Caenorhabditis elegans: one gene and its partners. The main gene of each other region encodes a partner of the protein of the gene in region 4 in a complex. Each region holds a gene or a part of one and is shown on either strand. Other genes may lie near its edges.

What was found.
Region 1: exos-1 (region 4) and exos-4.1 share a complex: the UniProt entries of both Caenorhabditis elegans proteins name them as parts of the RNA exosome complex.
Region 2: exos-1 (region 4) and crn-5 share a complex: the UniProt entries of both Caenorhabditis elegans proteins name them as parts of the RNA exosome complex.
Region 3: exos-1 (region 4) and dis-3 share a complex: the UniProt entries of both Caenorhabditis elegans proteins name them as parts of the RNA exosome complex.

The regions. Positions count from the first base shown.
Region 1 is NC_003282.8:13,097,182-13,102,082, reverse strand, and holds exos-4.1 (Putative exosome complex component RRP41), read right to left. Parts: upstream 3,079-4,901; 5' UTR 3,041-3,078; coding exon of another isoform or gene 3,014-3,040; intron 2,961-3,013; coding exon of another isoform or gene 2,846-2,960; intron 2,797-2,845; coding exon of another isoform or gene 2,610-2,796; intron 2,560-2,609; coding exon of another isoform or gene 2,557-2,559; coding exon 2,425-2,556; exon of another isoform or gene 2,369-2,424; coding exon 1,958-2,368; intron 1,744-1,957; coding exon 1,564-1,743; 3' UTR 1,477-1,563; downstream 1-1,476. Other genes in the region: fask-1 (RAP domain-containing protein), read right to left, coding at 455-701, 748-833, 1,271-1,367; tin-9.2 (Mitochondrial import inner membrane translocase subunit Tim10B), read right to left, coding at 2,553-2,559, 2,610-2,796, 2,846-2,960, 3,014-3,040; dli-1 (Dynein light intermediate chain), read left to right, coding at 3,353-3,447, 3,497-3,855, 3,899-3,994, 4,045-4,209, 4,254-4,504, 4,555-4,785, 4,833-4,901. UniProt on the Caenorhabditis elegans protein: Non-catalytic component of the RNA exosome complex which has 3'->5' exoribonuclease activity and participates in a multitude of cellular RNA processing and degradation events.
Region 2 is NC_003280.10:10,590,450-10,594,611, reverse strand, and holds crn-5 (Exosome complex component RRP46 homolog), read right to left. Parts: upstream 1,861-4,162; 5' UTR 1,851-1,860; coding exon 1,647-1,850; intron 1,601-1,646; coding exon 1,434-1,600; intron 1,387-1,433; coding exon 1,113-1,386; 3' UTR 1,021-1,112; downstream 1-1,020. Other genes in the region: C14A4.6 (MARVEL domain-containing protein), read left to right, coding at 397-451, 497-621, 679-868, 915-961; crn-3 (Exosome complex component 10 homolog), read right to left, coding at 2,054-2,187, 2,909-3,212, 3,638-4,160. UniProt on the Caenorhabditis elegans protein: Non-catalytic component of the RNA exosome complex which has 3'->5' exoribonuclease activity and participates in a multitude of cellular RNA processing and degradation events. Involved in apoptotic DNA degradation.
Region 3 is NC_003282.8:10,094,641-10,100,506, reverse strand, and holds the start of dis-3 (putative exosome complex exonuclease RRP44), read right to left. Parts: upstream 3,306-5,866; 5' UTR 3,300-3,305; coding exon 3,213-3,299; intron 3,166-3,212; coding exon 2,969-3,165; intron 2,796-2,968; coding exon 2,480-2,795; intron 2,162-2,479; coding exon 1,921-2,161; intron 1,698-1,920; coding exon 1,259-1,697; intron 1,202-1,258; coding exon 900-1,201; intron 782-899; coding exon 381-781; intron 1-380. Other genes in the region: msp-36 (Major sperm protein 10/36/56/76), read right to left, coding at 4,691-5,074; C04G2.5 (BTB domain-containing protein), read left to right, coding at 5,282-5,332, 5,425-5,484, 5,535-5,668, 5,728-5,866. UniProt on the Caenorhabditis elegans protein: Putative catalytic component of the RNA exosome complex which has 3'->5' exoribonuclease activity and participates in a multitude of cellular RNA processing and degradation events. Has both 3'-5' exonuclease and endonuclease activities.
Region 4 is NC_003281.10:11,006,100-11,011,106, reverse strand, and holds exos-1 (Exosome complex component CSL4 homolog), read right to left. Parts: upstream 2,065-5,007; 5' UTR 2,057-2,064; coding exon 1,913-2,056; intron 1,857-1,912; coding exon 1,738-1,856; intron 1,691-1,737; coding exon 1,588-1,690; intron 926-1,587; coding exon 665-925; 3' UTR 501-664; downstream 1-500. Other genes in the region: Y48A6B.3 (Putative H/ACA ribonucleoprotein complex subunit 2-like protein), read right to left, coding at 2,290-2,507, 2,553-2,712, 2,763-2,876; fipr-17 (FIP (Fungus-Induced Protein) Related), read left to right, coding at 3,505-3,648. UniProt on the Caenorhabditis elegans protein: Non-catalytic component of the RNA exosome complex which has 3'->5' exoribonuclease activity and participates in a multitude of cellular RNA processing and degradation events. Involved in regulation of antisense ribosomal siRNA production.

The DNA of each region.
Region 1 (4,901 bases), on a different chromosome or scaffold from region 4:
TGTTGAAAAATTTAAATAAGGCCACTAGGCCTCACCTCTACCTTTAGGTTGAGCACCGAAATCTGAGAAAAATATTTTTGAATCACTCCAAATTTTCTCCTTTCACTTGCGTCCAAATGAGATTTTTCAAACGCCGAATTTTCGCGCCAGAGACGAGCCATGTGTCGATTTACGAGAATTTTAATCTTTATCAGATGCTGATTTCTGTTTTCAACGAGTTTCCTTAATTTTCGTCGATTTTTGCCGAATTTTTTTTAAATGAAAATGTGTTTTTAAGTCAATTAAACATTATATTATCAAAAAACTAACAAAATTTCCAATTTTTCATTTTCAACAAAACTAAAAATTATTTTCAGATGGAGCGAATCTTTTTCTACATTTTTTAAAATCAATTTTAGATCAAAAAAGTAGAATTATCATATTCAAATAAGTAGTTTTGTTGGATAAATCATACTTTTTTCAAGGAACAAATTCTGAATATCCGTCGAGACTTTTCCCTTTGAATTCAGCTGCAAAACAAATCGCAATGCATCCACTGTCTCCTTCGGTCCAAAATTTTCATAGAATTTCGGCAGAACTTTCTTCGCAATATCATCAATTTTCGAAAACGCCTTATTTTGTTCCGTTGATTTCACAGTGATAGCCATTTGTGCAGCTGTGATGAATTGATCAATCGATTTTATGGGATTTTGTTCGAGCCACTTAAATAATTGAACAATTTAAATGGAGCTTAAGCTTATTGAGTACCTTGAAAAATTCCGTCGAAGTTTCTAATACAGTTCTGTTTTTCACGAGCTTCTGTGTTGGAGCAGCGGCGATGGAATGGAGGAAATCTGGAATTCAAATATTTTTTGATGTTTTTTGCATTATTCTACTTTTTTTTACTAAAAATAACCCGAAAAGCTTATTGCGAAACTTCAAAAATGTCGAAAAACACTTGATTTTAGCTAAAATCTCACATTTCGCAAAATTTTTCAAATATTTTGCCAAATTTCCCTTTTATTAAATTTTTGTCTTATTTTGGTCATTTATCACATGTTTTTTCGTAAAAATTGGTACATTTAAAGCCAAATTTGCTTAAAATTACCCTAAATTTACGAAATAACGTAAAATAAACCAAAGTAGCACAATAATCGAATTAAAATTATTTTCCGGCCGCTCTAAAGTTGGTCAAGTTGGAGATTCTAGCGGAAATTAGCTATTTTTTGAAATTTTTTTGACAATTTTAATAAAATTCTGGCCATTTAGAGCAAAAAAAATCTGCACCTACCATCAATTTCTGCAGGACCAGCTCCACTTTGAGCTGCGACGGAAAACTGACGACACGGAATCGTCCTGCAAAGCGTGGGTAATCCACGGCTCCACATTCTAGATATTTGCAATTTTTTTAAAAAAATATCAAGATTTGAACAAGAAAAGTACGAAAATGAGACGGAAACATATAAAATTTTACAAAATTTCTAAGATTAAATTTGAAAAAACTGATTTATCGACTGCAAAAAATGGGTTTAAAAAAAAAGGAATAACAACTCAAAACAACAATGAATAAGAAAAAAAGAACAGCTAATTGCCTAGAATCGGAGCACAAGCTTTCAGATGTTGCTGAGCAACTACTGCGAGACATTCGTACACGTCAGCACACGTGGCTTTCGCTGCATCCATGACTGTGGAAAGATGATCAATGTGAAGACGATTTTGAAGTTCCACGAGAATCACTTCGTCACGACCGCAGATTGTGGCGAGCTGAAAATTTTAAGCAATTATTTTTTAACGAAAAATCGAAAGTTTGTGTTTTTTCCCGATTTTTCGGAAAATAACTTAAAATTTTGGACATTTTTTTTTTTAGAATAGCAACCAAAATATGATTTCGGTTCCCGGAATATTGAAATTACGGCAATTTTTGAGAAGTCTCATTACAAAATTCATTAAATTAGACAATTTTTCAGCCTAAACATACAGTAACTCTGGGAAGGAGATCAGTTTCTTCTCTAGAAGTAAGATCAACAATTGGTTTTCCATCGACAACACCACACGTCGCTGCAGATGCGATGCCTTTCATTGGGATTCCTGCATCAGCAAGAGCCAAAGAAGTTGCATTGACACAGGCGGCCAGGTTGGAGCCGTCTCCTTGGATTACTTCACAGAAAATATCAAGTTGTGATCGAGGAAATGCTTCCGTCAGAATAACTGATTCGAATGCTTTCTCAAGAAGTCTGCTGATTTCAGTTGATTTTCGATCTCCACGTGTACGATTTTTTCTTTCAAGTCCCGAAAACTTTGTTGCACTATACTGACAAACAATGGCACATTTATCTTCGATTCTTTTTGACGATTTGCCTTCATACGGACCATAAACTGCACAAAGAACCTGAAAAGAGAATAATGTAACTTGAAATTAAATTCAAAACTTAAAAAAAAACCAACCTTGGTATTACCATGTTCCAGATAACAGCTTCCCTCCGCATTTCTGTTCAAGCCAAGACGAGTGTTAATGTTACGAATCTGAGCGGGACGGCGGCCGTCAATACGGAAACCATGTTCAGAGATGATGTTCATTGTCTGCAAAAGATTATTCGTGATTTTTTAAAAGAAATTATGGAAAATCTCACTTATTTTCTTCAATAACTGGAGTAGTTTCAACAGGAGTGGCTTCTGGAGCTGGGACCGCTGGCTCTGGCTTAGCGGATTTGATTGCTTCGGTTGGCGATTGCTCTCCTTGCTTGAAAAGTGCTTTTGGTGCTTGTTCTGCGAATACTAGCATAAACCGACGGTTCACTAGCATCTGCTTGTCAATACCTGAAATTTTGATTACAAAATCGTGTTTATACAATACAATAAATCTTACATTGACTGACACAGGACCCTTCGTCCTTTGTGAGTGTTGATGTGGTGTAGTCACGAGCGCAGGCGTTGAAACAACGTTCGCTGAGAGTGTTGTAGACGGTTAGAAATTCACGAAGCTGAAATTAAAGACATAAATGCGCGGGAGAGGATTTTCCTTTTTTCTGAGCACCTGTTGAATATTTTGAATAGTATTCATAAAGCATAAAACAGTCAACGCCCCGAAATGAGAATAATCTGAAATTTGAAGTTAAGAAAATGAGTAAAAAATTAAATAAAGAGAAAAAATTTGCATGCAAAATGCAACAAAAAAAACAAAAAGTTTCTGTGTATTTTACCGTCACGGTGTTTGCGGAAGTTTAAAGGCGCAGCGCTTTTCATGATTTCAATATCTTTCCACGAAGCATAGAGAGTGTACTTGTCGCGGAGACGCAGACGAACTTCTCCGAGGGACTTGAGTTTAATTTCATTTAAATTAAATTTTAAAAAAAAATTGATTTTCTTCGAGAAAATGCCACCAACTGCGCAACCACTGGAGTTTGATGATACAGCAAATGCTGTGCTTCCGGTTTTGTATTCTTCGACAGACGAAGAAGTCGGAATTTGGTATTTGTTGTATTATTACGAAATATACTATTTGAAAATCATATTTCAGGCGAGAGCTCCTTGCTTCCAAAAAGACAAACACGAATCAAGGCAGCACGGTGATTGTTCTGGGGGACAACCGAAGCGGAAAGTCGTCTCTTCTTTCCCGTCTGGACAAATCTGATAGAACCGTGAAGCCAAAATCACTACTTGGATATCGTGTGCTCCACGTGCAAAATGATGCTCGTGACGCCAGTTATGCATATCAACTGGGAACAGCCGGAGCCAATCTCAATCCATCAGAGTTGCTTCAAATCCCTGTCTGGTCTTTGGATGGGAATGCGGCGTGTGCTTCCCTTCTGAAACATGCTCTTCCAGCAACTCCCGCGGAAGCTATCTTCATTCTTACCGCGAGCATTGATAATCCGAGTAAGTATTATATATTCAAATAAATAAGTATTTAATTATTCAGATCTCATTCATTCCTTGAAAAGATGGGCAAATGTGTGCACCGAGCAAGCTCAGAAACATTTCACCAAAGAAGACTTGAAAGCCGGTAGATCTCAACGTAAGCTTATAAACTCTTTACTTCATGCAATTTAAAATAATTTTTTCCAGAAGAAAAAATGTGGCAAGAGTATGTGGATCCGGTTCAATCACAAATGAGCACTTCCGTAGTTGGAAGTTTCGCCGATGAGCACAACCTTCTTCCTCTCGACCAAGGAACTCTTACTGAGAACTGTGGAGTCACGTTCATGGTGGTCATTACCAAATCTGACCTGGGTATATTATTTAAAGAAAAATAAAATAAATGATGTTTGCAAAAGTTTTAGGAAAGGAATTCACAGATGCTCAATTCGCGAAGATCAGCATTCAACTGAGAAAATTCTGCCTCAGTCTCGGAGCGACTCTTGTCTTCACCAGCGCAAAAGAGACTAAAAATATTCAGCTCCTCCAAAAGTACATTGTACATCGATCTTTTGGCACGGCTTTTACCAGTGCAGCTCAAGTGATTGAAAGAGAGTCGATCTTTGTTCCAGCTGGATGGGACGGAGAGAAAAAGATCGATATTATTCGTGTAAGTTTTACATAAGTAATTGGAGAATCCGAGTTCATGATTAATTTCAGGAGTCTATTCCGGATGTGGATTCAGCTTTAGAGCCGACTCGCGATAAGCTTAGACCTGTCGCAAAAGAGCAGCTCATCGAAGCCGAGGAAGATCAGGCTTTCTTGAAGAAGTTGATGGACATCCTGGCAACTTCAACCACTACGGCCGCTCCCAAGCCGAGGACTATGCAAGAAGAGCCTACCGATAAGGACAGTCCACTCGCCAATTTCTTCTCCAACTTGCTCAATAAGGTAAATCAATCTTAGATCTTTTTTCTATGTGAATTTCCATATTTCAGGACAAGCCGAGCAAGGTGAGCTCTCCTTCCACTGTTTCCCAGCCGATGGATGCCGCAGCCACCCAGGCC
Region 2 (4,162 bases), on a different chromosome or scaffold from region 4:
CTAAATTCTGAGAATGCGTATTACGCAACAGATCTGACGCGCAAAATATCTCGTAGCGAAAACTACAGTAATTCTTTAAATGACTATTGTAGCGCTGGTCCGATTTTGCGATGTTTTCATAGTTTATTGATGAAGTTTATTTTGCACGTCAGATATGTTGCGCAATACGCAGTCTCAGAATTTTATGTTCTAGTAATACGTAGACGTCTGATGCGAATGTTCGCGCATTGGTCTCGCCACGCGAAAATCGCGTTACTGTAACTCGTGTCGATTTACGGGCCTCCATCCTTCGTAGGCACAGAGTTACAGTAACTCGTTATTCGCGTGGCGAGACCCATCCGCAAAAATTATCATATTTAGACGCCTATGTAATATAAAAATATAAAATAATTCTAGCTGGGATCTTTGACACTACTCATCTACCTTGGAACCATCAAGTTCCGACCACCAGGTTCGATTTTTGTACTAAAATTTCTCGTAAAACCTCTTTTTTCAGGAATGTCAGTAATTTGGTTCACAATTGGATGCTCCATCGTCTTCGATATTTGCACAATTGCAGTACTTCTCAAGGAGTACGATATCTCAATAATGGCGATTCGAATGCTACCGTATGCAGCAATTGTAAGTTCGGGCATCGATGGGGCACACGTGAAACTACACGGAAATTTGAATTTCTAGGAATGTATTGGATCGATTCTTGCAATTATTTGCTATGTTATCTCCATGGCAATATCGATTAGTAGTGAAGAAGTGACTGATGATTTCGGATTTTTGGTGGTCGCAATTTTTTGTTTTATTATTGCACTCATCCACGTGTTCAATCTGGTTGTAAATGTTCGAAGATGGAATAATGGATCACATCATTTGAGTGAGATTTTTTTTCTTATTTTGAAAATTCACCATTTTTATTTCAGATCCGGCTGGAGTCTACGAATATTCAAATTATGGATCTGAAGCTTAACCTATTCTTAAATACCTAAATACCTTCTCTTGTCACATTTCTACAAAAACTTCGACTTTGAAATTTAAGATTTTAATATCTCACAAAACAATGGATTCAAAATTAAATAAAAAATTAAAATCAACAACGACAACAACAAAACATTGATAATCTATTGCTCATCAACCGAAAGCTTCCTCTTCATCACAGTTTTGTAGAAATCAAAAATAGCACTGGCAGATGGTTGTGCCAATGACCACGCGGCTTCCAGCTGAATAAAATCCCAATGTCCTATAGCGTCCATCGCACACACTTCTGGATGTCCATCGGATCCTTTGCACACTGAAAAGAGCACTCTTCCAGTCGATGCAGCTTCTTGTTTTGCTGTCGGATCAATAATCAGCTCATCTTTGACACGAACAATAAGGACACCACAGAAGACTGTTCTGAAAAATTATATTACAGTTTTAAAACAGTATCTAAAAAAACTTACTCGAATGGCATTCCATTGTCAAGTAGAGCAAAACAAGCTCCATTTATCGCTACAGCTCCCATACTTCCATCATCCTGAATTCCATGTACTGTGACAGAAATTGTTGTGTGGGGAAACAATTCGAGATTGATTGCATTGGATAGAGTAGAATGAATGATATTGTTCAGCTGAAAAAAGAATTATTCCAAAAGTAATTTCTACAAAAACCCCTACCACATTGAACTTGTTATCTCCACAATTTGCTCTATAACTAATATCCAGAGTCATAGCCTCATCACTTGCTTTCGAAGCGTGAACATCTCCAGGACCACTGCATGAAGCCCAAATACACGTGGCACCCTGGGAGAAGCATGCCGAGCCATCCGCGTTTTTGAGGAACGAGAGCTCACAACGCATTTCACGAAGTCTGCCGGCCATTTGGGGATATCTGAAATCAAAATTAATCACAAAAATGAATTTTGTAGAAAATATAACTGAAATTGGTGGAAAACCAAATTGAATTAAAAATAAATAAATAAAAAGATTTCAAAAACAGTTTTCTTTAATTTCAAAGCAAAAGAAAAAGCACAACAACAAAAAGTAAAATAACAATGGTAATGGGATGGGATGTAACAATTTAATCATTTTTTGTAGTTGATGGTTCCTTGTCGATTCGATGATTTTTTCATAGCCATATTCTTCTTTGTCTTGTTCTTCAATCGATATTTTTGATGGAATGGATCGAAATCGGCGTTGTTGTCTCGAACAGGTTTTTCTGGAAATAATTTATTAGGAATTTGATTTCGAGACTTTTTTGAGAGCTATATAATTGGGTACGGTATTATCCAAATTTTGAGCCAGAAAACGTTTTTTTTTTGCAAATTTGCGGTTCTTTTTGGAATTTAACGAAAAATTGATTTTTTGGTGTTTTTTTTTGGTATTTTGAATTTTTTTTTTTGGGTTTTTTAATAGCTTTTATTGGCACTTCGACGAATAACATTGATTTTTTTTTGGGTTTTTTTGTTGGAATTCAACAAAAATTGAAATATTTCTTGTATTTTGACGAAAAATTGATTTTTTTGTTTTTTTTTTCAGACCAACAAAAATATTTTTTGAAAAACCAATACATTTTCACATATTCACGATTTTTTTGAAAAATAAATTCAAGCATCAACTTTTTTTGGTTTTTGTTCGTTTTTCGCAAATTCGTAAATTTCAATTTTGGTTTTTTGTTCAAAAATATTTTTTGTCCCAGCCCTGGTGTGCTCCTTTAAAGAGTACTGTAATTTCAAACTTTTGTTGCTGCGGAATTTTTTTTAGTTTTAAATTTATTTATTAAAAAACTAAAATAAAACCGAAGAAAATTTCCCAGTAACGAAAATTTGAAACTACAGTACTCTTCAAAGGCGCACACCATTTTGCAAGTTGTCGCGACCTGGTACCGTATTTTTAGCCTTAAATCTCGCGTCTGGATAATTCAAAGGAATATAACTTACCAAATGCACTACTATCAGCTTTTTCATAATCAAAATCTTCAACGGGAGCATCATCATCAGATTTTTTCTTTTTTGGATCTGAACTACTCGACGACTCGCCGAGCACAACAGAAACATCTATATTTCGTCGAGCAGCATCTCTCTTTCTTTTCATTGCCTTCTTTGACAGTAGCTGGTCGTCGGTAAAACGAGATGGATCGAAGATTTGAGGTTCCGATGAAGATTCTTCCATTGGTGAAGGTTCTGGATCTTTCGGCTTGTTCGGATCATCTGGGACCAGCTTCAGTGTATCAACGTTTAGAAGCTGAAAATTATCTTATTAAAACCAAGGATGTCATCGGAATTTTTAAATATATTTTTTTTCATTTATTTTTTTTTTGAGAAAATCGAAAAAAAAGAAGTTTTATTTTCTGATTTTTTCAGAGAAAATCGAAAAAAAATTCATTTTTATTTATTTTTTCAGAGAAAATTAAAAAAAGATTTTAGTGATTTTTTCAGATAATTTTTTTTTAAAGTTTTTTTACTAAATTTTTTTCAGAGAAAATCGAAAAAAAAAAATTTTCTATCAAATCTGTACGTTTTTCCGCCGAAAATTTTTTTTTAAGAATAAAGCAATCTCTGAATTCCGTATGAGCAATACCGATTTTGGAATTTTCTTTTCAGACATTTTTTTTCGGTTTTTCCCAAAAAAAAAAACGATTTTTTTCAGATTTCATTATATCTACCAACCTTCGCATCGAATTCAGGTTTTCTATTAATCGGAGCATCATGATGTGAGAACATAGTCTTCGGTAGATCACCTTCCTCCAATTTCTTTCTCTCAGCCTCTTTTCTCTCTTCTTCTTCTTGCTTTTCTTTTGTAATCATCATCATTTGATAACATTCAAATGGAGTTACAAATTTGTCAAGTTCATTCAACAACTTTTTAACTTTCTGATTATCCGATTTCTTTCCTTTTTCCACAACAATCATAGTTTCCACACTTGGAATTTCAGCCGTTTGGAGCACTGATAACAATGATTCTTTATGATCTTTCAGCTCGATATCCATTCCTTCATCTGTCTTATCAATATAAATTTCTCCGCGTTCTTCGTCAAATCTAGTGTGTGAAAAGTCGATTTTTGATTTTAAAACTGAAGTGATATGATCCATAGTATCGTTCATTACACCTCGTGCTTCCTGTGCATCATTTCTTTCTTTCGCCGACAATCCCACTTTCTCAAGCTTCACATCTCTGGCCTCCACAATTATTCT
Region 3 (5,866 bases), on a different chromosome or scaffold from region 4:
TCGAATTAGAAACAATGCGCGTCGAATTAGAAAAAAAGCATGCCGAACTGGTGCGCGTTAGTTCATCCTATTTTTCTAATTAGATGAGAAATAGGGTTGTCTGAGTATTTTTAAAACAAATTTCACAAAACTCCCAAGAAATGTTTTCAAATAAAAATCATTTTGAGGGATATTGCCTGATCTAAATCATTTTTATTGGTTTAAAATGGTTTAAAAGTTAGCAAAAAAGAACTGGAAATTTCGCAAGCGCGCTCTAATGAGAGATTACTGTAATAATCTAAATGAAAATCAGTTTCTAGGTCGCTCTGTTGTATAAAATATATTTCTTCTTTGAATTTGAATATAACTTTTTTTTTTGTAATATTTTTTAAATTTTAAACCTTTGGTGTTCTGGACTCCCAATCCATATCAAAGCGAACTTCACTCGATGCCAACGTCAATGCTCCATTTCCAGTTCTTCTCGCATTCAAAACTTTCGACAATTTCATCAATCCACGTAATCCCAATGCCACGTCATTCTGCTCTTTTGGATCGTCAATAATCTCTTGTGCCTTCTCATAAGTCAATGCAGCTTTTGATTTAATTAGAGATTTGTGATATTTAACTGATTGTATATCAGCACTAGAAGTCATTGTCCAAATACACGAAAATGCATAACGCTCTTCTTCTCCGCGAAGTGAGCACAAATTGGAACTGAGCAGACATGGAAGCATATCGATACGACGATCACAAAGGTATACTGTAGTTCCACGTAATGCTGCTTCATCGTCGATTGCGGTTCCTAAACGTAGGAAATTTTGGTTCTTTTTTTGAAAATAAATGAGGTTTTATTCGAACCTCAAAGGACAAACATTTTTTTTAGTAAAACTTGAATTTTTAAATAATTTCAGTATATTTACCTGGTCTAACAAAATGCGTGACATCTGCAATATGAACTCCAACTTCGAAAAGATCCTCTCCAATTTGTTTACAGTGTAATGCGTCGTCAATATCTGTACATCCAAGTGGATCAACTGAACAAATTGTTAAATCTCTCAAATCAACACGTGGTAGAGGGCCGCGGTTTTCAGTGAGATCTGGTTCCCATTCTTCACGTGGTAGACAATCAAGAACAGATTCTGAGAATGGAGCATGTGGAATATCATGTTCGAGAAGGAGAACCTCATTTTCAGTTTCACGGGATCCCATCTCTCCGATTGATCTGAAAACAACAGTCATTCCGTTAAAATATTTCAAGATTTTCTGAAATTTCACATACCTGACGTAATGTCCAAGTGGATACTTGGAATCTCTTGGCCAGTGATCAATAGCCACCACAATTCTCTGCTGTGATAAAGTTTCAGCCTGTTCCGTCTCGATTCGAATTCTTGGAATAAGTCGTTCAGCTGGACAGAACAAGTGTCTTCTGGCTCCTTTCACTGTACTTGGCAGCAACATTCCACAATATTCACGCCAATTTCTTTTGATAATTCCAACAACTTTTGCAGTTGAAACAGTCATTTTCTTCGACTTTTTAGCTTTTGGCTCATCGTTCTCGTCATCATTCTCCTCGTCTTCATTTCCCATGTCATCTGCAGTTTTAACATATTCTTCAACGTCACGGAGTCGAATTTTCTTCTCTGGAGCAGTCCATTGGTCTTCTGGCAAAAGTTGAACTGCGACGGTATCTCCATTGACGGCACGATTGCAATTATTTCCTAAAATTCGAAATAAAAATTTTATTATTCAGAGAATTGGAATTTTTGGAAAAATTTCACCTTTTTTAAAAATATAATTTCAGAGTTGTTTCGCTCAAAATGACCGAAAACCACCTAATTTCGTTATAAAAAAGTTTTTTTAAAATTCTCAGCAAAAAGTAATGACTTGTGTGAAAAATTTGGTTGGTTTTCGAAAATAAATATTTCAACTAAATTCAAGCACCTGTGATGAACCAAGATGTTAACTGATCATCAATAATAACAGTAGCTTCGCGATAATTTTCTCTTGAAACACTGAAATTTCCTCTTTTGATCGTTCCACTGGCAATTCCCTCCATAATTCTATCATGCGATAGATATTCATCGAAAATTTGTTTCTCATTTCCATTTCCAGAGCTTTCATACGCAGCCATTTGATCCAAAAGTGCTTGTTTTCCTGGATCCTCCAAATTTTGTATGTATTCCTGAAAATTTGGAGATTTTTTCTTTTTCTACGGGGTTACTGGATCATTTTTCAAACTTTATTGTACTTTATTATACAATTTTTGATTAAGGATCATGATTTTTAGTTGAATAAAAGTTTAGTTACGGCGAAAATATGTTAAAGAGGTGTATATTTTAGGGTTTTTGGCTGAAATAGTCTGAAACTAGCTCGGAACGACAGAATTTCATTATGAGTCTTAAGAAATCAAAAATTTTCTTTTAACAAAATTTGGCTCTTTTTCGAAATTTCGCCAGTTTCAGAAAAGATCCACAGAGTTTTGAACTTTTCGACTATTAACCTTTAAATACATCACGTGTTGGTAGTGATTTTCCATTCTTTTTTTCGAATCTTCATCAAAAACTAAGACAACAGGAGCCACGTTATGCTTCTGCCAATGAGTTTTCAAGTAAAGAGCTGTTGAAAGTAGAAGCTCTTCGCCACGACTCAAATCCTCAAATTTCGATGATTCGGAGAAGGTCTCGCAGTGAAATTCGTTCATGAACACGTGAAATCTGTCTTTCGCATCTTCATAACACAAAGAATTCATTTTCTTGTAGGCTGGTACAGCTTTTGCTTTGACTCCTTCCCATACAGTCTGGGTTACGATGAGATCTCTGAAAATTAAATATAATTTATTATTTTACAGAGTTTTTAATTGAAACTAGATGTTTGTTACAATCCCGACAACTTCTAAAAACTGAATTTGGAGCAACAAATTAAGAATTTAATAATTGGACAGTAGAACCATCTACATTTAAATGATTCCGCTGTAATTTTAATTCATTACCTCAATAAAGACGAATCAAACAAATCGTAGAATCTGATTAATGATGTGGAATCCACAATCAGCGCGTGCCTTCCAACTTTCGCATTTCTTACGGGATTTTCAATTTTTAACAGCGGATTTGTGCCGAAATCCTTGCAGGTTCCACATTGAGCAAGTCCACATGAAAGATCATTTCGTAGATATCTTTCTTCGGCTCTCTGCAAAATTTTAATTGGGTTAGGTGATTTCGGAGAGGTTTTCTCACTTTATAGACTTTCCCCGAGCGATTTTGGAAGTAAGTCGTGTGCAAAGCGACGGAATGAATTCCACTTTGTTTGACGTTCAAATCCATACCTTCAAATAATGAAAATACGTGTGAAAAACAAATAAAATCGCACGAATCAGGTGAAAAATGAAGGAAAAACTATTTTATTCGAAGAAAAACTCAGTGTACATTTACGGTGAACAACACGCGCGAGTGGAACATCGGAGTGTCGTAGGCACTACGAAAACGAACACTTCGAACAACACTGCCATCGCAGCTGCGAGGAAAAATGAAATGAAAAGGAAGAATATATCTAAATAGAGTATGGCTAAAATCATGAAAACGGAAGTTTAAACATCTAAAATAGATAATCGGGTAGGAAACATGATTATCTAGGGCCTCATAACCTTAAAAAATAATGCTCAAAACGTTTTTAGATTTTTGAAAATTTTTCAGTCATAGATTTGGTAAATTGCCAAACTTTTTTGTCTTACAAAATTTAATGCGGATGAAACTAAATAATCGCCACTTTTTGATTTTTTTTCATGTATGTAGACACAGCACTGTCCTCAAGGATGAAATCTGACCAGACTTTAAAATGTTAAATTTGTCAAGATGCAAAATATTTATTGTTTTAATGTTAATTTTTGGAAGCAATAAGAACAATAAAAACATTAAGCGAAATATAGAATCTCATTATTGAAAAAAAACGGGTAAGAACATGATAATGAAATACATATCTCGATGGACTTCCATAAGATGTTTAAGAATCGGTTACTGTAGAATTTGGAGTTGAAGAATTGGTTCTACCCAGATAAATTGAAATGTCTTCAGATCCATTAAACTTTGTATGTGATCTTGATCTTCTTCGTTCCCGTATTCTAAAATTAAAATACCTCCAATTTGGATATTTTTCTTCATTATATAATTTTTATCGAAAATTCGAAAATTTACTAAACCCAGCATAGAATTCAATACCAAGGCTTTCATCTAGAGAAAATTTGAATTCGGAATTTCAAATAGAAAAATACATAGCAGAGCTGAGACATTATATACCAGGGATCTTTCCTTTTTCGAAAATTCGAAAATTTACTCGAACCAATCAATAAAGTATTTTTCTCTCATATCAGCAAAAAAAGTTGTGATCGGTTCACTTGTTAATTTCTTTGATTTGTAAGAAAAATACACCCTCCTCGACCTTTACGGAGCAAAACAGCTTTCAGGTTTTGGAGAGATGGGCTGGGTTAGTAGTATGGTTGGGTAGTCTTCTGAACTGAATGACTACTGGAAGATTAAGGTAGGATTACTATAGTTCCAAACGATTTACAATAAATCCCGGATGCTTATGTTAAGGGCATCGATGGAACACAAAACTTGTTCGCTTGAGTATTAATATATATTCAATTTGCAGATTAAAACAGAAAAACAGAACATATACTTGAAAAAAGTTTATTGTTAAGAAACCCAGTTCACACATCCTATGGATTGTACTCGATTGGAAGGTTCTTGCGACGAACCATACCGTCTCCCTGGAACCATTCACGACGGAATTGCTTGGCAGCTCCATCCGGGGTGTTGGTCCACTCAACAGTGATACGGTCGTTGTTGGTATCCTCTTGTCCGAAGGCGAAAGCATCGCAGGAAACAGCAAGAAGCACAGCTTCCTTTGGATCGAGAACTCCACATGGTGGATCAACTCCAAGTCTCTTCATATTGGTGGTCTTGATACCATATCCAATACGACGAGCCGATGAGTTGATCACCTTGATGTGATAGGTGTGCTTGTCATCGTATGGAGCATTAAAGACGATCTTCGCGTTTGGTTGGGTTTGGATGTCTCCTGGTGGGACGGATTGGGCCATGGTCGTTCGATGAAGGAGTTATGAAAACTCTATGAAGATTATGGCAAAATATTCTCAATTTATAGCAACCTTCTTATCACTGTCCCAGATCTATAGACTACAAAACGTGGAAAAGGGTAATGAGATTTCACGGGGAAATTTAAAGTTTATTCGGGAAAATTCCCGATGATATTATTCATTACTTCATTCTCTCGTCTTGTTTCAAAAATGGATAATCACGACGATAAGTCAAAATCAGATCGTTTCTGTGATATAAATGTGAGTTTATTCAATTATAACATTCAGTTAGAACCAGTTCAAGTCTAGAAGCTTAATAAAAATTTTTTAATAAAAATTTTGATATTTTATAGAACAACATGACTACTCAATTTGATAGGCTATCAATAAATTCAGACGCTTCTTTGGTAATAGTGAGTTGAACTTGAATTTTTTATTTGAATAGCACTAACAAATTTTCCAGACTTCGTCGAGACTGGCTATGCAAGGAGCCGATGAGACCTCTGATTGGACACCAAATAAATATTCCTGGTTTAAGCTCGTTACCCCAAACCCGGTGGAAACACGTGTAGTTCAACAAAAAGCACAAATGAAAGGGTAAGTGAGCAAAACCGACATTCAGATCATCTCTAAGACTTCCAAAAATAACATTTCAGACTAAAAATCCATAAAATGGTGCACAACTTTATTCCGTCAAGGAAACAAGGATATCTTGGATACTACAACTTCGACGTCAAAAGCTATGAGGAGTCTGAGAAGGCCAGGAATTTATTCCCAACAGACTTTGTTGATGCC
Region 4 (5,007 bases):
CAAATTTTCGTTAAATGCAAAAAGGTGTGCGCCTTTAAGGAGTACTGTAGCTTCAAACTTTAGTTGTCGCATAATTTTGAGAGATTTTTCACAGTTTTTTGATGAAAACGTATGTTTTTTTTAGCAAAAAGCTAAACAAATCGTGAGAAAAAATTTGGAAAATCGATTTAAATTCGGCAGAAACGAAATTTTGAAACTACAGTACTCTTTAAAGGCGCACACCTTTTTGCATTTAACAAAAATTTGTTGTGTCCAGACCGAAAACTTTATATTTTCACAAAAATCGCCGAATTTCTTGGTTTATAAGCAATTCAAAAGAAAAAAGTCAACATTTCGCTGCGAGACCGGTAAATTCTCAATAGGGCGCGGTTACTGGGCTAATTTGAATTTTCGCACAATTTCAGTTACTCTTTTTTGAAAATTGAAATTATAAAAAAAATTTCCGCCGGAAAAATGGAAAAACTAAAAATTCTAGAACCTGAAAAGTTGAAAAAAAAAAACCGAGAAACATTTTTTTTTTTTTGAAAAATTGTTCAACAAAAAAGGAAGGAATGAGTGGGGGAACAATTATGACTTTTTTTTCCTCGAAACAATGGCCCCCAAAAACACAAAAAAAAGTACAAAAATATAACGATTCAAAGATCTTTTCAGAGAGGATAATTATTCAGGCCACCGATTGCGTGGGCAATGTGCACTTTTGCGGAACTTTGGCCATTTTCCTGGGTTCCGTTTTGCCGGTTCGTGTCGAGACCACCGTATTCCAGTCGACTTTTTGCATTGGTTCACCAAATCGTCCACGGCACAGCACAACGCCTAGCTCGTCTTCGGCGATCGATAAAACGAATTTGTCCTTGATTTCGGCGTCTTCACAAACTTTTGCCAGAATGTAGTCGTTGGGTCGCACAAAGTTTTTGAATGGCTCACTCTGCAAAAAATGCTCTTTATTTCAATTTTTTGCCTCTAAAGCAGTATCGCACAGAAAAAGAGGCGGAGCGTAATTTCGCAACCCTCCGGCACGGTTTTTCCACCTTTTTGCCAGTTTTCTACTGCATTTTTTATTGATTTTTTAAAATTTCACTTCTTAGTTAGTAAAATCTAAACTTCATTGAAAAAAATCAACAAAAATCAGTGTAAAACATGCGAAAAAGGAAGGAAACCCCGTGCCGCAGGGTTGCGAATTTAAGCTCCGCCTCTTTTTCTGTGCGATACACTACTTGGGTTCTCAGTTTGGGTCTCGCCACGATTTCGGCCCATATCTAATGTTTAAAAAAAAATTTTGCTCGAAAATCGCTTTAAAATAAGAAAAAAGAGGGAAATTTGTTTTTTGAGTAAAAAACCGAGAATTTCAGTTGAAATTTAGTGAAAATCAGTCTAAAATCAATGTTTTTCCGATGTTTCCACAAGAAATCAGGAATTTTGACGACTTTTCTGCAAAAAACCTTAAAATCGGCCATTTTTATGCGAAATTTCATAAGAATTTTCGCAAAAAAACCTAATTTTCTGCTAAAAAAAAGGTTTTTCCCACATTTGTAAGCAGAAATTCTTAATTTTTTCGTGGCGAGACCCACAATCCAGGCAAAATCCAACCAATTCAGGTTCCAGCGGCCTCAGCTTCTTTTTCGGCAGCAGCGCCGAGAACCGCTTCTTGTAAACCTTATCGCCGATACTGATGATGTCACATTTGGCGAATCTGCAATATTTTCTGTCGGTTTTCAGAGCAACGAAAAGCTGCTCTACCGTAATCCGACAGCCATCACTTTGGCGGTGACGATGGCTCCGTGGAATGGGAGAAGCTCATTGTCGAGCTGATCTTCGCTGCGGCGAACTTCGATCACTTGCACCAGGTTGTCGGATTTCTGCAGAAAAAACGGAAATTTTCGGGCTCCACGCTTGCGATTTGTGCGAAAATTACATCTCTGAATCCATAAACGTTGACAAAACCGGCTACCGACGCGAAGATCCTTCGATTCGCCTCGTATAATCCCTTCCCCATTCGATATTCACCAATCGCGTCGAGAACCTTGTCGCCGGGCGCCACAAGCGTTTCGGCGAGCATTTTCTGAGCTGAAAGTGGTTTAGAACGGGATTTGCTGTGATTTAGATTGATTTCGAGTAACAAAATTGAGTTTTGGAAATTACCGAGAAAGGATTAAAGAATAAAAAGAAAAAGTCTGTAGATAACAACAATTTAATGAGTGAACAATTGTGGATAAAGATGGTGATACAGATCAAGAAATTTTAAAAAATCAACAACAAAAAAAAAACAGTGAAAACCAGAGAAAAAACAATTTAGGCGGCCTCGACGGTGAGATGACGGAGAGCCTCGGCGACCTCGTCGTACAGCTCCTTGAAGTCCCCACTCGGCTTGACGAAGATCAGAATCGACGGGCGACGATGTCCGACGGCGAGTCCGAGCTGCTCACGAGATGGAATGTAGACGTATGGGATCTCCTTCTCCTCGCAGATTCCCGGAATATGTGAGTACACATCGATTGGAGAGACGTTTCCTGAAAAATTGAACGTTTTAAGGGAAAAATAGATTAAAATCCTACCAGCAAGAATGCAGATTCCCTTCTCGTTTCTGCGGAGCTCCTTCTGCACGTCCTTGATGCCCTCACGGAGGGTTTTATCGCCGGCGGAGGCCTTCTTGATGAGCTTGTACACCTTCTTGGCCAACTTGCGGTTTGCTAGTGGCTGAGCGATTGGGTTTACCTGAAAATAAGACATTTTTCATTAAAAAACCAGCGAAATTAATGATTTACCAGCTCGCAAAGTGCCTGGTACTCGTCCTTCTCGGTGGTTGGTGCGGTGGCGTCTCCATTGGCTTCTGATACGGTCGACTCGTTCATTGTCTCGTCCAGATTGCGCTTGCCCATTTTTTGATTCTGAAAATTCATAAGTTAATCGTGTAAATTAGCCGCAAAGTTCAATTAGCTTTAGGAAAAGAAAAACAATGAAAATGGGATTTTTGCAACAAAAAATCGATAAAAATCCTATTATGGGTGATTACATAGGAATTTTACGATATTTCATGGCTTAAAATTGATAAATATTATATTTCCGAATTTTAAAATTTAATTTTATCGAAAAAAATCGGAGAAAACCCGCAGAAAACTTCGAAAAATACAATAATTATGTGAAAATGCGTCAAAAGAGAAAAAAGAGAAATCGAATCGAAATGTGCAGTGGAGCGCGTTCGCCCACATCCCAGAGAGTGGAGACGCAGACAATTCGTTGGCGGGAATTCAAATTAGAGATTTTCAGGGAAATTCGTTTTGTTGAATTTTCAACTGTTCCTGACTCCGATTTTTGCAAGTTTTGCAGCCTCTCCGCTTCCCCGAAACGCTCAAACTTCAATTTTTACGAGTTATCATCAAAATCGCAACTAAAATATAACAATTTTATGTCCCCGAACCCCCCACCCGCCCCCTACACGGTACTATAAAAGCCAACTTCTTCCAGAATTCAAGCATCAGAAGCATCTTCTTCTTCTTCATCATCATCATGAACGTCTACTCTGTCTGCGTCTTCGCCATCTTGGCTATTTCTTCAGTTTCTGGAATCTTCTTGCCACAAGGAGGAAAGAAGTGCGGAGGAAGCAGTGGATACGGAAGCGGAGTCATCATCGGTGCACCACGTCCACAATAATTTTTGTGCAGTTTCTGTTGATTACTGATAAATATTGAACATTCAAACTCTGTTTTTTGGGCTTATAATCTTGTTAATCGCGCCGCAGGCCTTTCAGTTTTTAGGGCTTAGGCTTAGGCTTAGACTGAGGCTTAGGCCTAGGCTAATTCCTAGGCTTAGGCTTAGATGGAAAATCTATGACCTAATAAAATGGGACTTTGAAGTAGAAAGTTTGAAAAAAAAAAATCCCAAATTGGAGTTAATCTACGGGACTCTAAAGAAGTGCGAGACAAAATTAAAAAATTTCAAATTTATTTTTCTAGTCCAAAATGCTCCTACATATTGAGCAGTTTTCTGTTAGGTAGTTGAGGCTAGGTAGGCAGGCACGGTTTCAGGGCCTCACGAGAGGCAGGCGGAGGCCGCCTTAAGGTCAGGCAGGCAGGCGTTTTGGAACCCCTAACATTAACAATTCGACTTGCGTTGTATGATTTGAGTGTATTTGCAAACTTATATTTTCCGTGCAAATGATCACAAGGTTTTTAAGCATCGAAGCATACATCTTTGATGCTCCCGCTCCCGGAACTAACTTTATCGATGTGGGTGGAATAAAAGCCTTCCGATCACAAACCTTTTCCTCACTTCGGTTCTTCAAATGAACATTTATTGCGTTTTAGTGTTTGCTGTACTCTCCATCTTGTCGGTTGTTGGAAAACCTCGAGCTAACCATATTCGACCTGCCTCAGACCGACATATCATCATGGGATTCGACCTACCATCCAAGTTTGGATAATTCAAACTGAAGCAATTAATTTATGAATAAAAGTTGAACATTGTCTTGAAAATCTTGTTATGAAATTTGGGATAATCTGGTAATTTAGAACCATATGATTTTCCAGCACTTTTGAATTTTTGAAAAATACAGCTTTTATATATTTCTATCAATTTTTTAAAATACTTGCGGACAAGCTAGTATACTTTTTTTGGTATTTTCTGGTATATTTGGCAATGCTAAACAGTTTTATAAAATAAAAAAGAAGCGCTTCATATGATTTTATAGTACTTTTGAATTTTTGAAAAATACAGCATTTACATTGACATACCAAAAAATAGATTGACATACCAAAAAATAGATTGACATACCAAAAAATAGATTGACATACCAAAAAATAGATTGGCATACCAAAAAATAGATTGGCATACCAAAAAATAGATTGGCATACCAAAAAATAGATTGACATACCAAAAAATAGATTGGCATACCAAAAAATAGATTGGCATACCAAAAAATAGATTGACATACCAAAAAATAGATTGACATACCAAAAAATAGATTGGCATACCAAAAAATAGATTGACATACCAAAAAATAGATTGGCATAC